3 linked regions of the Arabidopsis thaliana genome follow. The protein of the gene in region 2 interacts with the protein of the main gene of each other region in a pairwise test. Each region holds a gene or a part of one and is shown on either strand. Other genes may lie near its edges.

Evidence for each region. Proteins that work in one complex are often made in the same cells at the same time.
Region 1: the proteins of AT1G68240 (region 2) and AT2G14760 interact in a two-hybrid assay, tested with the Arabidopsis thaliana proteins (one large-scale study listed by BioGRID).
Region 3: the proteins of AT1G68240 (region 2) and ALC interact in a two-hybrid assay, tested with the Arabidopsis thaliana proteins (one large-scale study listed by BioGRID).

Annotation. Positions count from the first base shown.
Region 1 is NC_003071.7:6,321,066-6,325,150, forward strand, and holds AT2G14760 (basic helix-loop-helix (bHLH) DNA-binding superfamily protein), read right to left. Parts: upstream 2,333-4,085; 5' UTR 2,248-2,332; coding exon 1,771-2,247; intron 1,691-1,770; coding exon 1,409-1,690; coding exon of another isoform or gene 1,394-1,408; exon of another isoform or gene 1,290-1,393; coding exon 1,185-1,289; intron 1,048-1,184; coding exon 982-1,047; intron 871-981; coding exon 775-870; 3' UTR 522-774; downstream 1-521.
Region 2 is NC_003070.9:25,574,307-25,577,719, forward strand, and holds AT1G68240 (basic helix-loop-helix (bHLH) DNA-binding superfamily protein), read right to left. Parts: upstream 1,824-3,413; 5' UTR 1,761-1,823; coding exon 1,530-1,760; intron 1,453-1,529; coding exon 1,384-1,452; intron 1,287-1,383; coding exon 1,221-1,286; intron 1,133-1,220; coding exon 980-1,132; coding exon of another isoform or gene 974-979; exon of another isoform or gene 912-973; coding exon 873-911; 3' UTR 558-872; downstream 1-557. Other genes in the region: AT1G68238 (uncharacterized protein), read left to right, coding at 175-372. UniProt on the Arabidopsis thaliana protein: Transcription factor involved in somatic embryogenesis. Acts as a positive regulator of somatic embryo formation. Acts as a positive regulator of ECP63 by targeting its promoter and inducing its expression.
Region 3 is NC_003076.8:26,784,585-26,788,465, forward strand, and holds ALC (basic helix-loop-helix (bHLH) DNA-binding superfamily protein), read right to left. Parts: upstream 1,848-3,881; 5' UTR 1,755-1,847; coding exon 1,518-1,754; exon of another isoform or gene 1,406-1,517; coding exon 1,334-1,405; exon of another isoform or gene 1,244-1,333; coding exon 1,178-1,243; coding exon of another isoform or gene 1,100-1,177; coding exon 1,034-1,099; exon of another isoform or gene 940-1,033; coding exon 748-939; 3' UTR 522-747; downstream 1-521. Other genes in the region: ICU2 (DNA-directed DNA polymerase), read left to right, coding at 28-147, 218-292, 380-520; AT5G67120 (RING/U-box superfamily protein), read right to left, coding at 3,246-3,506, 3,880-3,881. UniProt on the Arabidopsis thaliana protein: Required for the dehiscence of fruit, especially for the separation of the valve cells from the replum. Promotes the differentiation of a strip of labile nonlignified cells sandwiched between layers of lignified cells.

The DNA.
Region 1 (4,085 bases), on a different chromosome or scaffold from region 2:
GTTGGGTTAGACCCATATCTAATTTTAATTTTGTTAAGTAGATGAGATGACATAGAAAAATGGTAAGCTTTTATTGGTCAACGTAAATAAGGTGTATTAATCGAAATGTTCTGATTGGTTGTTGATTTTAATGAGGTGTCATGCTGAGAACACTTAAAAAAGCTGATGTGTCAGCGCATGAGAGACTTTTAGAGTTTTTATGTTGTTGATAAGTTTTAATTTCAAAAGATATTTTACTAATCAATCTTAGGGTTTGGGAACTCATTCATCTTATATACCAAGTTCTGAAACAATGTCAAATCATTGACCAACCTGTCGGCTCTTCCTGCCTTCAACTTTTGACCTTGTCACGTCTTTGAACGCAAGATCAAATTAGATATAACAAAATTCGATTTTTGAACGCAATATCAGAAATATAATTAAAGTCCCAAATTGTATCCTATGAGTATAAAATTCTCAAGCATACAATCCAAAGATATTGAACGCTTAGTATTAATTTAAATTCTGATTACATCATTTACGTGTATGACGTAAACGAATCAAATAATTCAAACAAAAAAAAGAGATAAAATAAACGAATCCATTATCAAAACGATGATCGTACACCAATATATATCTCAAGAATCAAAAAAATTGTTGGACATAACTCGACATACAAATATAAAATAATATTTAGAGTATAAAACGTCAAAATGTGACTCTTCATATCTCTAGTATTAAATTATATATATATATATAAATAAATAGAATTAAAATCCGAAGGTGTCTCTTGAATCATCTGGTCAGTGCATTGAGTTTTAGGTCAAGGCCAATGTCCATTCCGTTGTAAGCAATAGGCGCATACATCCATAGATCATCAGAGCTCAATAACTGTATAACATAACATTATTCATTATAACCAATATTTAATTCTCTATCTTTAATTGATACAATATTTTCTATGGTTTAATTTATATTATAAGCATTGAGAACCTAACGTACCTTAATTTGGAGCTGTAGAAATTTGACGTATTGTACTGCTTCTTCCAACATCGTGCTAATATCAACCTGATACATACATATTTAACACATTTAATTTACTTAGTAATCATGAAACGAAATGAGTAAAAAGTGATGTGGTTACGTAGTAATAAATAAGTTTGCATGGAAAAAAAAAGGTTTGCATGAATGAAAGACATATGTACCTTTGTTCCATTAGGGACGAGATGTTGCAAAATCCTTAGCCTCTCGTTTATCCTCTCTCTTCTTTTCTGCACCATCATACAATGGACTTTGTTTAATTGTTTCAGCTATCATAATAAATTTTGTTATGTTTGTACAATGCATATACATAAGACTCATCATCACATTTGTGTACATGTTTGAATAACATCGAAGCCTTAATTTTTAAAGTTTATGTGTAAATTACCCTTGCGTAAAGGCTTTGAGGATCTGTGGCCGCGCCGCGGCTGGCCCTAGTCTTGCCGTTGAGGTTGAGAGCCTTAGAGTCCTCGCCATCTTCTTTGGACAAGAAAGTGTCTCCACCGTTTGATTCGTCATCCGAACAACAAGTCTTTTGCGGCTTAAGTGGTTTGGTCTTTCTCTTCCCCGCAGCCTTCTCCGTATATTCTTCTTCGCCGCTATTTTCATTTTCGCCACTCATCTCTACGCATTTCTGGCTCCTTCGTGCCTTGTTGGCTCTCTTGTTCTTCTGATTTGGTTTCAAGAACATTAAAATATTTAGAATTATGGTTTCGGCTGAAAAAAAAAAAAAACGTTTGTACAACTTACATCAGTTGTTGTGGCACGCGTCCTCTTCTTTGAACTCTCACATTGGTTGAACATTTTCTCATCAGTGGTCGTGGTCAAGGAGTTCTCAGGCTGTAGCATACTATGGTCGTGGTTTTCTGCGACAGTCTCCAAAGGCAAGAGGCTTTTACCGGAGTATTCCGTCGCATCACATTCACTTGTCTCTTCACCAACAAGGTACAAGTTCGTGTTGATTGTCGCGTCCTCCATCCCATTGTTATCTTCTTCTTGCCGTGGCATCGCCGCGCAGTAACCACTATAACTACTGCTCTCCTGAGAGAAGCAAAAGCCACCATTCCATTGAGAACCCTGGTGGTGGTAGGCCGTGAGTGTGGCGGTTGTCTCTGAAGATGAACCGCCACAAGGTTGCTCATAGGAGGCAAGGAGCTGATTCATAAAGTCAGCTTCCTCTGTATATATTCCGCCTAGGCCGGTGCTCCATTCTCCCATGGCTTCCATTTTTGATCACTAAGCGACTTTAACAATAGACTAATTAATCTTAATTAAAATCCGATAAGTAATGTGAGAGTATTGAAGGAATGATTGAGAGGAGTTTGATGTGTGTATTATATATAGGATCATGAGAAGTAATGGATATAATTAAATGTCAACCAATAAAACATTATAACCATCTTTAGAATAAAGTATTTTTTTGGGTAACCAGGTCTTGATACCCATAGATATGAACAGCTAATTATAGAGCTTAAAGAAAGCTTTGTCTTTCTCTATATCTGTTAAGCATGAGTTAAAATCTGTATTTAGTCATTGGTAATTCAATACAAAAAGAAGAGGATCAGACCTATACAAATCCTTGGAGGGGAGATAAATCCAGGTTCAACTGTATCTATTATGTTAATAATATAGAGTTGTGAAGAAAATAATGAATGTAAGGAAAAGGTACAACTAGGAAAAAATATAATTGTGATGTATCAATCCCAAAACCAGGGACTTATACATATGTTTAATTTATAATTGATGTATAGAAGACCTTTGCATTTGAGGATTTGTTTGAGCAAGTCTAAAATATGAAAAACAATCTCTTTCTAGTTACAGTCGCTATGATTGGTTCAAGTTCTTAAAAAAACGGTTAACAATTTGTTTTAGTGGTTGGAGGAAACGGTTAGAGAATACCAAGTTGAAAAATAAAACATAATATCAAAAACAAACATGACAAAGAAGACTCAAATAACAAAAATAATCTTATACCAAAATATGTTTACACTTTTAGTGGTACAAAAATTTGTTGGGTTTCAAAGTAACAAAATATCATAGATTTGTCAAGTTGTGACGTGAGTATATATTGTTATGAATGTAAGAAAAAAAATAACTAGGAGAATTATCATTGTGATGTATCGATCCCAAAAGCATGGACTTATACGGATGTTTAATTCATAATTGGTGTATATATAGAATACCTTTGCATTTAAGGATTTGTTTGAGCAAGTCTACAAGAAGAAAACAATTCTCTTACTAGTTACGGTCGTTGTGGTGAAAGCAGTTAGAAAATTAAGTTGACAAAAAACAATCCGATAACATAAAAAAAAAAAAAAAAAACAATAAGACAATCTTATATTGTTGGCTTTACACTTTTGCTAGTCTTAAATTTTGTTCGGACTTAAAATTACAGAATATCGTTGATCTATCAAGTGCGAAGTGACTATATTGGTATGCAAGAGCCGGATCATGGCCGAGGAAAATATATATCCCTTCATTATACCAACTTTGAAAGATGGAATGTTGATGCATGCAAATATCTTGAGAAGCTATAATCCAATAGACATGTTAACCAAGGTCATCATGTATGATAAGATAAGGAAATGTGCAATTTTATTCGGATTTTTAGCTAATGTAAGGTAATGTGCTTGTCTATAGACTAAGGATCGAAGTCATTAGTCTATAGACTTGCAAATTTTGCAAACTTCTTGTTGGTGAGCATTGGAAAATTTATGGAGCCTCTATCTTTATTTTCTTTATGTTATCTTAGTTTTAATTTGTATGAACTTCTCTCGTTTAAAGTTTAATAGTGAATGAAAGTTGTTTGACAAAAAAAAAGGATCGAAGTCATTAATCCTCCAATTAGAGAAAAATGATTACTATTTTGTTCATGTAAATACTTAATATATAGTCTACCACTTTGAATAAGTTCCATCCATAAATTTGAGTGAGTTCGAACAAGAGTTTTTAAATAAGTCTAATGTTTTCAGGGGAACGAAAATGAGAGGTGTGAAGGGGAGAAATGAGAATGAGAGACTCGGTTGTTGAACGTGACAGTTATTGTTGATATTAGTAATTATTTT
Region 2 (3,413 bases):
GACCCTAGAGTTAAACCAAAGGGCAGTATATATAAGAAAGAGTCGTCGCATCTTTTTTTTGGTGACTTCTGACTCGAAAACGCAAAACCACACATTTGAAAATATGCCAATTACAACTCTCTTTATCAACTAGTCTCAACAATTGTCACAAAGCGATGCACAAAAACTCTTTCAATGGTGAGAGGAGAACTCGCGGTAATAGCGGCGGGTAATGGTGAAGTCTCACTCTACATTTGGGCAGCTGTTGTGGCTTTCTCCGTCATAGCAGCCGTGATTTTCTCATGCAGTGACCGAGCTTCTAAACCTCACACTAACGACGATGTCAATGGATCCAGTTGCGCCGCTGGCTGCGGTGGTGGTTGTGGAGGTTAAACGGGAAGCATTTTTTGTTTACTTTAGTAACATTTAAAGATAAAACTATTTTGGCTTCTTGCTTTAATAAAAAAAGTTAAAGTGTGTAGATAATTTGTAGCCAATGAATGTATTCTGCTTCTTGAATTTAACATTTTAGTGATCTAGTTCGTTTTCTATGATTCAAGATAAAAATTATCAAACTAGGGTTGTAGTAATGTTTGGTACAAACGTACTATTACACGTAACATAACATCTTTGTTGTTTATTTAACTTACATTCAACAAAGAAAAAGGTTGAGCAAAACAGAACATAAATAACAGAGGAACAATGCTCAACCAAAACAGAACATAAAAAACAGGTGTTTTTACATATTGTGGCATCAAACTAAAAGTTATACATAAAACTACGTATGTATTTATGTATCTATGTACATATCTTAGTTTACAAAGACAGTCTATATAAACAGCAACGAGTCTAAAGCCGGAGGGTCTTAAAAAGCCACATAGCTAGAGCTTGTTTTAAGGTTGAGTTTGATTTGGCGGCACTGTTCCATATACCTGTGATAAAAGATTGATGGCAGAAATCAGAATCTGTGGAATCAGATTAAACTTTAATTTGATCAAACCTGAGGATATTGCGGGATATAGGTCATGTTTTGCTGAGGCATCATTGGAACTCCTGGCGTATAATAGCCCCAAGGAGACATACATGGTGCTTGAGCTGCTGCATAAAATGGTGGTGTGTAAACCGGAGTTGTTGTGTATGCCATTGACATAACCTGGACCACATCCACATAACACATAAGAACATATATACTCTAATGGATACAAGTAACTAAATTAAATTAGATATAGTTTAATGCTTACATCTACTTGATATTTCAAACTTTTAATGTATTCAATGATGTTTTCAAGCTTCGATGCAAGGTCCGGCTGTAGATAAACACACAAGAAACTCGATATTCGAAACTTGATATTGTATTAGACTCTAATATATAAAAAATATGGAGTAAATTAAGTAATAGTTAACCTTTGTGCAATGATTAGGCATCAACCCCTGCAAAATATCTACTTTATCTTTGATCTCCTTTCGTCTTTTCTACAAAGTTTAGAAAGCAAAAATATAAATTAGCTAGGGAATCACGTAAGAGAAGAAGGAGATTAAGTCATCTTCACCTTCTCCATCATCATACGATATTCCATGGAACGTTGCCGTTTAGCCATACGGTAACTTTCCTCGTCTGGCTCCTCGTCGTGTTTCTCATGATCATTGTTTTTGGTAACACCGAATATCTCTTGCAAAGGGTTTAATTCACTATGATTTTCTGAACAAAACGAATAAATAATATCAGAAAGCGAACATTGCTCTTCTTCGTGAGTCCCCTCGTTGCGGTTGTTTCTCTCCATTGATGATTGACTAAATTGAGGATTTTGAGTTTGTTAAAGAGTGAAAAGTGGAGGGTTAAGGATAAACTAGTTAGTTCAGCCATAAGCTATATATATATAGGGGAGATACAAGAAGCTTCTTTTGAAAGTTCCAACAATTGAGCGGGAAGCAAAGAAGATGATTTTGCTTCGTCCCATGGTTTTCTCTAACAATTTATTTACTCATTTTCCATTATATTATTATATTTATGTGTTCCACATTTACGCACATCCATTAGACAGAAGAAAACATATATTTTTGTTGTTTTCTTATATTTGCTTTCTTGCTCTTTCTTGAAATTCTAAGAACGGCAGGGGAATAGTGTCATTCTTGTTCATGAACGGCAGTTCTTAATCTTTAGTATTTTATTTTTCTTCTCAAGCTAGCTATGGATACAACAAATTGCATTAAAATTGGAAAAACATTATCTAGTTGGAAAAGAGAACTGTAAAACTCCTATTACAAGTTCGAACAAAAATGACATATTTCAATATTTAAGAATTATTTATTTTGATTGAGAACAAGATAAACTTTCTATTATATCAACAACATGCATGGACATGTCCATGCAAGGGCAAGAAAATGTTTCTAGTCAGAAATTTGTTTTGACCGGCTTGTAACACTGTGCAAGCTAGCTTCTGATGTGATATTTAGAACGTACGTTTGCATATATTTATCGAGTTACGTGTCTCTTCAATACTCATACATATTTTAAGGAGTCATGCACCAAAATCTTTCATATAAACATGTGCTGATCAGAGATCTTGAACTCTCTATCGAATAGCTTCGCCATCGACCCAAATACATAAGACCGTCGTCTGATTACTTCATTGAGACGGGACGTTTTTTATAGCTAGATGTACTATTTTAATTTGGGTTATTTGTGGATACATGCACACTCTCGTTACTTCTCCTTCTTAAATAAACCTCAACCATTTCATTTTTTTCTCTCAACCATTTCATTTTTTTCTCTCAACCATTTCTTCAATATCTCGTATATATTATTTGAACAATTGGAGACAGATAGAAAAAAAAAACGGACAAGCAAAACATATTTGGTTAACCTGCCATCATATGAGCGATTTGAAAGAAAAATAATATAAAATTTCGATTGCCAAGTTTAAAACTAACATTTAATTATGAATGTTTTGGGTGCAACAATGAATATATTTTTTACACTAACATCATTATAGTAACAAATATATTTAATGTTGTAAATAGATATTTGCAATATCATTCAATTTAGTTATAAAAAAAATCATTCAATTAAATTAATTTCTTAAGTTAGTTTTTGTTAAACAATTGAATCTATAACATCATTAACTATTTGTTTTGCTCAAAGATTGAAAATAAAAACAGAAAAAAAAAATGAATTTAAGATTCTCTACAGGCCCAAACCGCGGATCAAATATCTAATATTTAAATATTTATGAAAATATTTCATTTTTAAATCTTTCTTACAAATTATAAACGTTAACGAAAAAACAAAAAAACGTTAACGAGATATGTAAGTTAAAAAAAATCACTTATATATGTTTATCATTTTAGCTACAAAGTTTTTTTTCTTTAAAACAATATTAATATAGTTTTTTTGCCAAAATAATAATATTTATATTATTTATTTTATTTTAGAT
Region 3 (3,881 bases), on a different chromosome or scaffold from region 2:
TTTTCTTGTACATTTTGCCTTCAACAGTGTGAAGACGAGTCATGCAAGCACACAACCCGCTCCCCCAACTTTCGTCTACTCGGTGAACGTGAACGGGGGACAGTTTGCCCAAACTATCCTAACTGTAACGGAACCCTCTTACGAAAGGTATATACCATCATCAACCTTATAACTCCTATCTCTCTATTGCTTCACAGACTAACTCTTGACTTTACAGTACACTGAAGCAGACTTGTACAAGCAACTGTCATACTTCTGCCACATCTTAGACACACAATGCTCTTTAGAAAAGGTTTCTACTTTACAACCTTGTTATATTATTAATATCAATTTGTCTTGTCTATATCCCTAAAGTTATCGGTACCATTTGAAATAACAGATGGATGTTGGCGTGAGAATTCAAGTAGAGAAAGCAATGACGAAGATAAGACCTGCGGTTAAGTCAGCAGCAGCAATCACTCGAAGTAGTAGAGACCGGTGTGCTTATGGATGGATGCAACTCACAGACATAGTCATTTGATAGTTGTAATAATCATCTCATATGTAAGTAAATTAGTCTTTTATATATAATCTGCTTCAGACATCATTATAATCAAACTACTCAGATTTTGTTCACTCCTAAAGCTTATTAGCATAACTATAACTGAACATAGAAATCTGGCCAATGCTAAAACTCAAAACATTGTTCACTCCTGTCTGGCAGGTACTAGAGGAATTCCGATCATCATCATTGTCTGAATGTTATCTTCAAAGCAGAGTGGCTGTGGAAAAGCACATTCCTTGACTTGTTTTAGCTGGTTCCAGCGAGTGAGGAGCAGCGAGAAGAGTCTCTAGGTTCAGGTCTTGCTCTAAGGTCTCATTGATCCTTGTATGAGTTGGAGGTGGAACCTGTGGTAATCGCATAGGGTTTAAGCCTAAACCATTCATAACGGCTAAAGTCTGCATCATGCAGTAAATCAAGTTAATGATCTGAGTGATGTAATTTACAAATCAGACTTTGAACGTATATAATCATAGTAAGTAGGAAAAAAACCTGGACTTGAAGTTGAAGCTGCTTCAGATATTCTATAGCTTCATCAAGCATTGAGGCTTTATCAGTCTATAAACAAACAAAAGATAACGGATCAATCAGAACAATGTTTCTCACTATCTCTGATTCGAACAAAGATTGATTAACCTTGTTGGAATTGGGAATGAGTTTCTGCAAAGCTTTCATTTTCTCGTTGATCTTGCTCCTCCTCTTCTGCTAACACTCAGATTCTAATCAACTACAATCTCAAGGTTCTTCTTCTTTCTAAATTAAGAATCTTAAAAGGAAGATAAAAGAGAAAACCTTTTCAGACAAGTTGTGGAATTGAGCATCAATGTTTCTCTTCAACGAATTTCTCTGTTTAGCTCCACTTCTCTTTAGTGTTTAGCCATTCCAAAAAGAAAAGAGACTAATTTTGGTTTTTGTTTTCTTTTACAAGGAAAGCCAAGTGAAGCATCTCTGCAGCTAAGAATAGTTAAGTTTATACCTTGTGTTCGAAAGCATATTTGTCTTGGCCAGTTTCAGAGACTCCATAACCGACGGAAGAAACAGCTCCGCCGGAAACGGAAGGGAAGAAGGTCTCAGCGGAGGAAACATTAGTACTCTTCGGTGGTGAAGAAGGTTGAGCTGTAGGAGTACGGGAAAGAATCTGTCGGAGAAAGCTCGAGAGTTCGTCGGAAGAAGATGGAGGGGGAAGACGATCACCGACGTCAGAATCACCCATCTCTCTCTCTCTCTCTCTCTCTGCTCTACTCTGTGTGTAAAAATTATCACTGTGGCTTTTTCGTAGTAAAGCTTATAGGCGGGGGAGGTAGGACGCGTGAGATCACGTTCTTCAGAGAAGCGCGTGGAGGTTCTAAAAGAGGCGAGTGGCGTGTCGAATCCCTATAGACAGAATCTGGTGTCTCACATCACTCTGTGTGTGAACAGTTTCCTTTTGTAGCAATTTTATTTAATAATATTATATTTTTTACCTAATAAAAAAAAGGAAAAAAGCATTTTTGGACCACCAAGTAAATAAAAAACATACATTTTTATTGTTTTTTTCAATGTGATAAGTTAAATTGAGAGGAGGGGATGAAATTATGAAAATCAGTAAATGAAACGGTTGAAAAAATAAGAGTATTGATAAGATAGAGCATTGATAGACTATTTAATTATTATTATGACTAAACATGAAAATGGACAATTACTTGAAAAGTAAGGTCTCGCAACAGTTTCACCATTTTTGACAAATTACAAAAATCTATTTTTTCCTTCTTTTTTGTTGTTGTTGTTGTCCACAGATAAAGTGTGAATAAAACTGCATGCATTTCGAAAGATTATTTATTCGAGAGATTATTTAACACAAAATAAAATTCAGATATTATAATGGTCAATACAAAGACGATAACATGTCCTTGATCATTAGCCTTTTTTTAATGCATCCAAAGGGAAATATATATAATATAGTAATTAAAATAATTATGGTTCATAGCAAAAATAAGAATAACTAGATTTTAACCCGCGGTATACCGCGAAAACAATTTATTTTTTAAATTAATATATATAAAAGTTTGTAAATTGTATCTATCTATAAAATATTTTTATTGTATAGTTTACAATTGTTATTAAGTAACGTCCTGCCAAACCCGTCCCGCCAACCCGTCCTCTAAAAAAACTCATTTATTTTATGAATGTGATCTTATTTATGATATGTTTATGAATTATTGTCTAAATATTTTGTAATTTTGTAGTAATTAAATGTTATCAAATATCTCTACGGTTTGATGATTATAATCATGCAGAAAAGCAATATCAAAAATGATAATTTTGTAGTAATTAAATGATATTAAATATTTTAGAAGTTTTATTTTAGTAATTAATCGTGTAGTTAAGGTAGAGAGATTTTGGAAAGATTGTTAAATGTCAAATATTTAATTAGAAGATTTTCTTTCTAATTATCAAAAACAATTATTAAATGCCAATGACAGCCGCTGTAAATAAATCCCAACTCCAGAATTTATTTCACAAAGTGGCTGCAAAAATATATATATAGATGATAATAATCAAAATCAGAAATCAAATCAAAATCCAACTTGCCATCTAAATAAATGGAATCTTTCTAACTTGATAAAAAGGGAAATATTGGTAATTATGGTTCATAGCAAAAGAAAGAAACAAAAAAACTGAAATCCAACGAGATAAACGGAATCTTTCAAACTTGATAAAACATTTAAACGACTTCTCGGTTGCAAAGAGGACACTTGTTCGTGACCATTAGCCAATTCTTGATGCATCCGAAGTGAAAGTCATGCCCACATCCCAGTTTCGAAACTTCTTCATTGTCCTTCAATTTCTGCTGACAGATCACACATCTCTTCGTTTCATCGTCGCTACGCTTTTCATATTTCCTTCTTATTAGATTCTCATCAATCACTTCCTCGCTTAAACCAGTGCGTTCATCTCCTGTTTCGTCAGTGATGCTCAATAATTCCTAGAAAAAAAAAGATTCATTCATAAAATTATCGATATCTAAACTCTGCAGCTTATACAACTCTAGAATCAAGAAACCAAAATGGTACATATAATTTTTATTAAAGAGAGTCCTAATCTCTTCTACATCTAGGATTCAAATGCACTTCTTTGAAAACTACACATGCAACCGACTAGTTAACCAATACTGGAAGCATTAAATTTTCAATGTTATCTTGCAAAAAACTCTAAAGTGCTAACTTCTAAGATACAATGTTCATAACAAATGAAAAAATGGTGAAGGCTTTCAAATGTGATGTAAACACTTTAGTAGTTTTTGAAGATATTTGCATATCAAAACTTAATCTAGTCTAGTTATAACATATATAATATACCT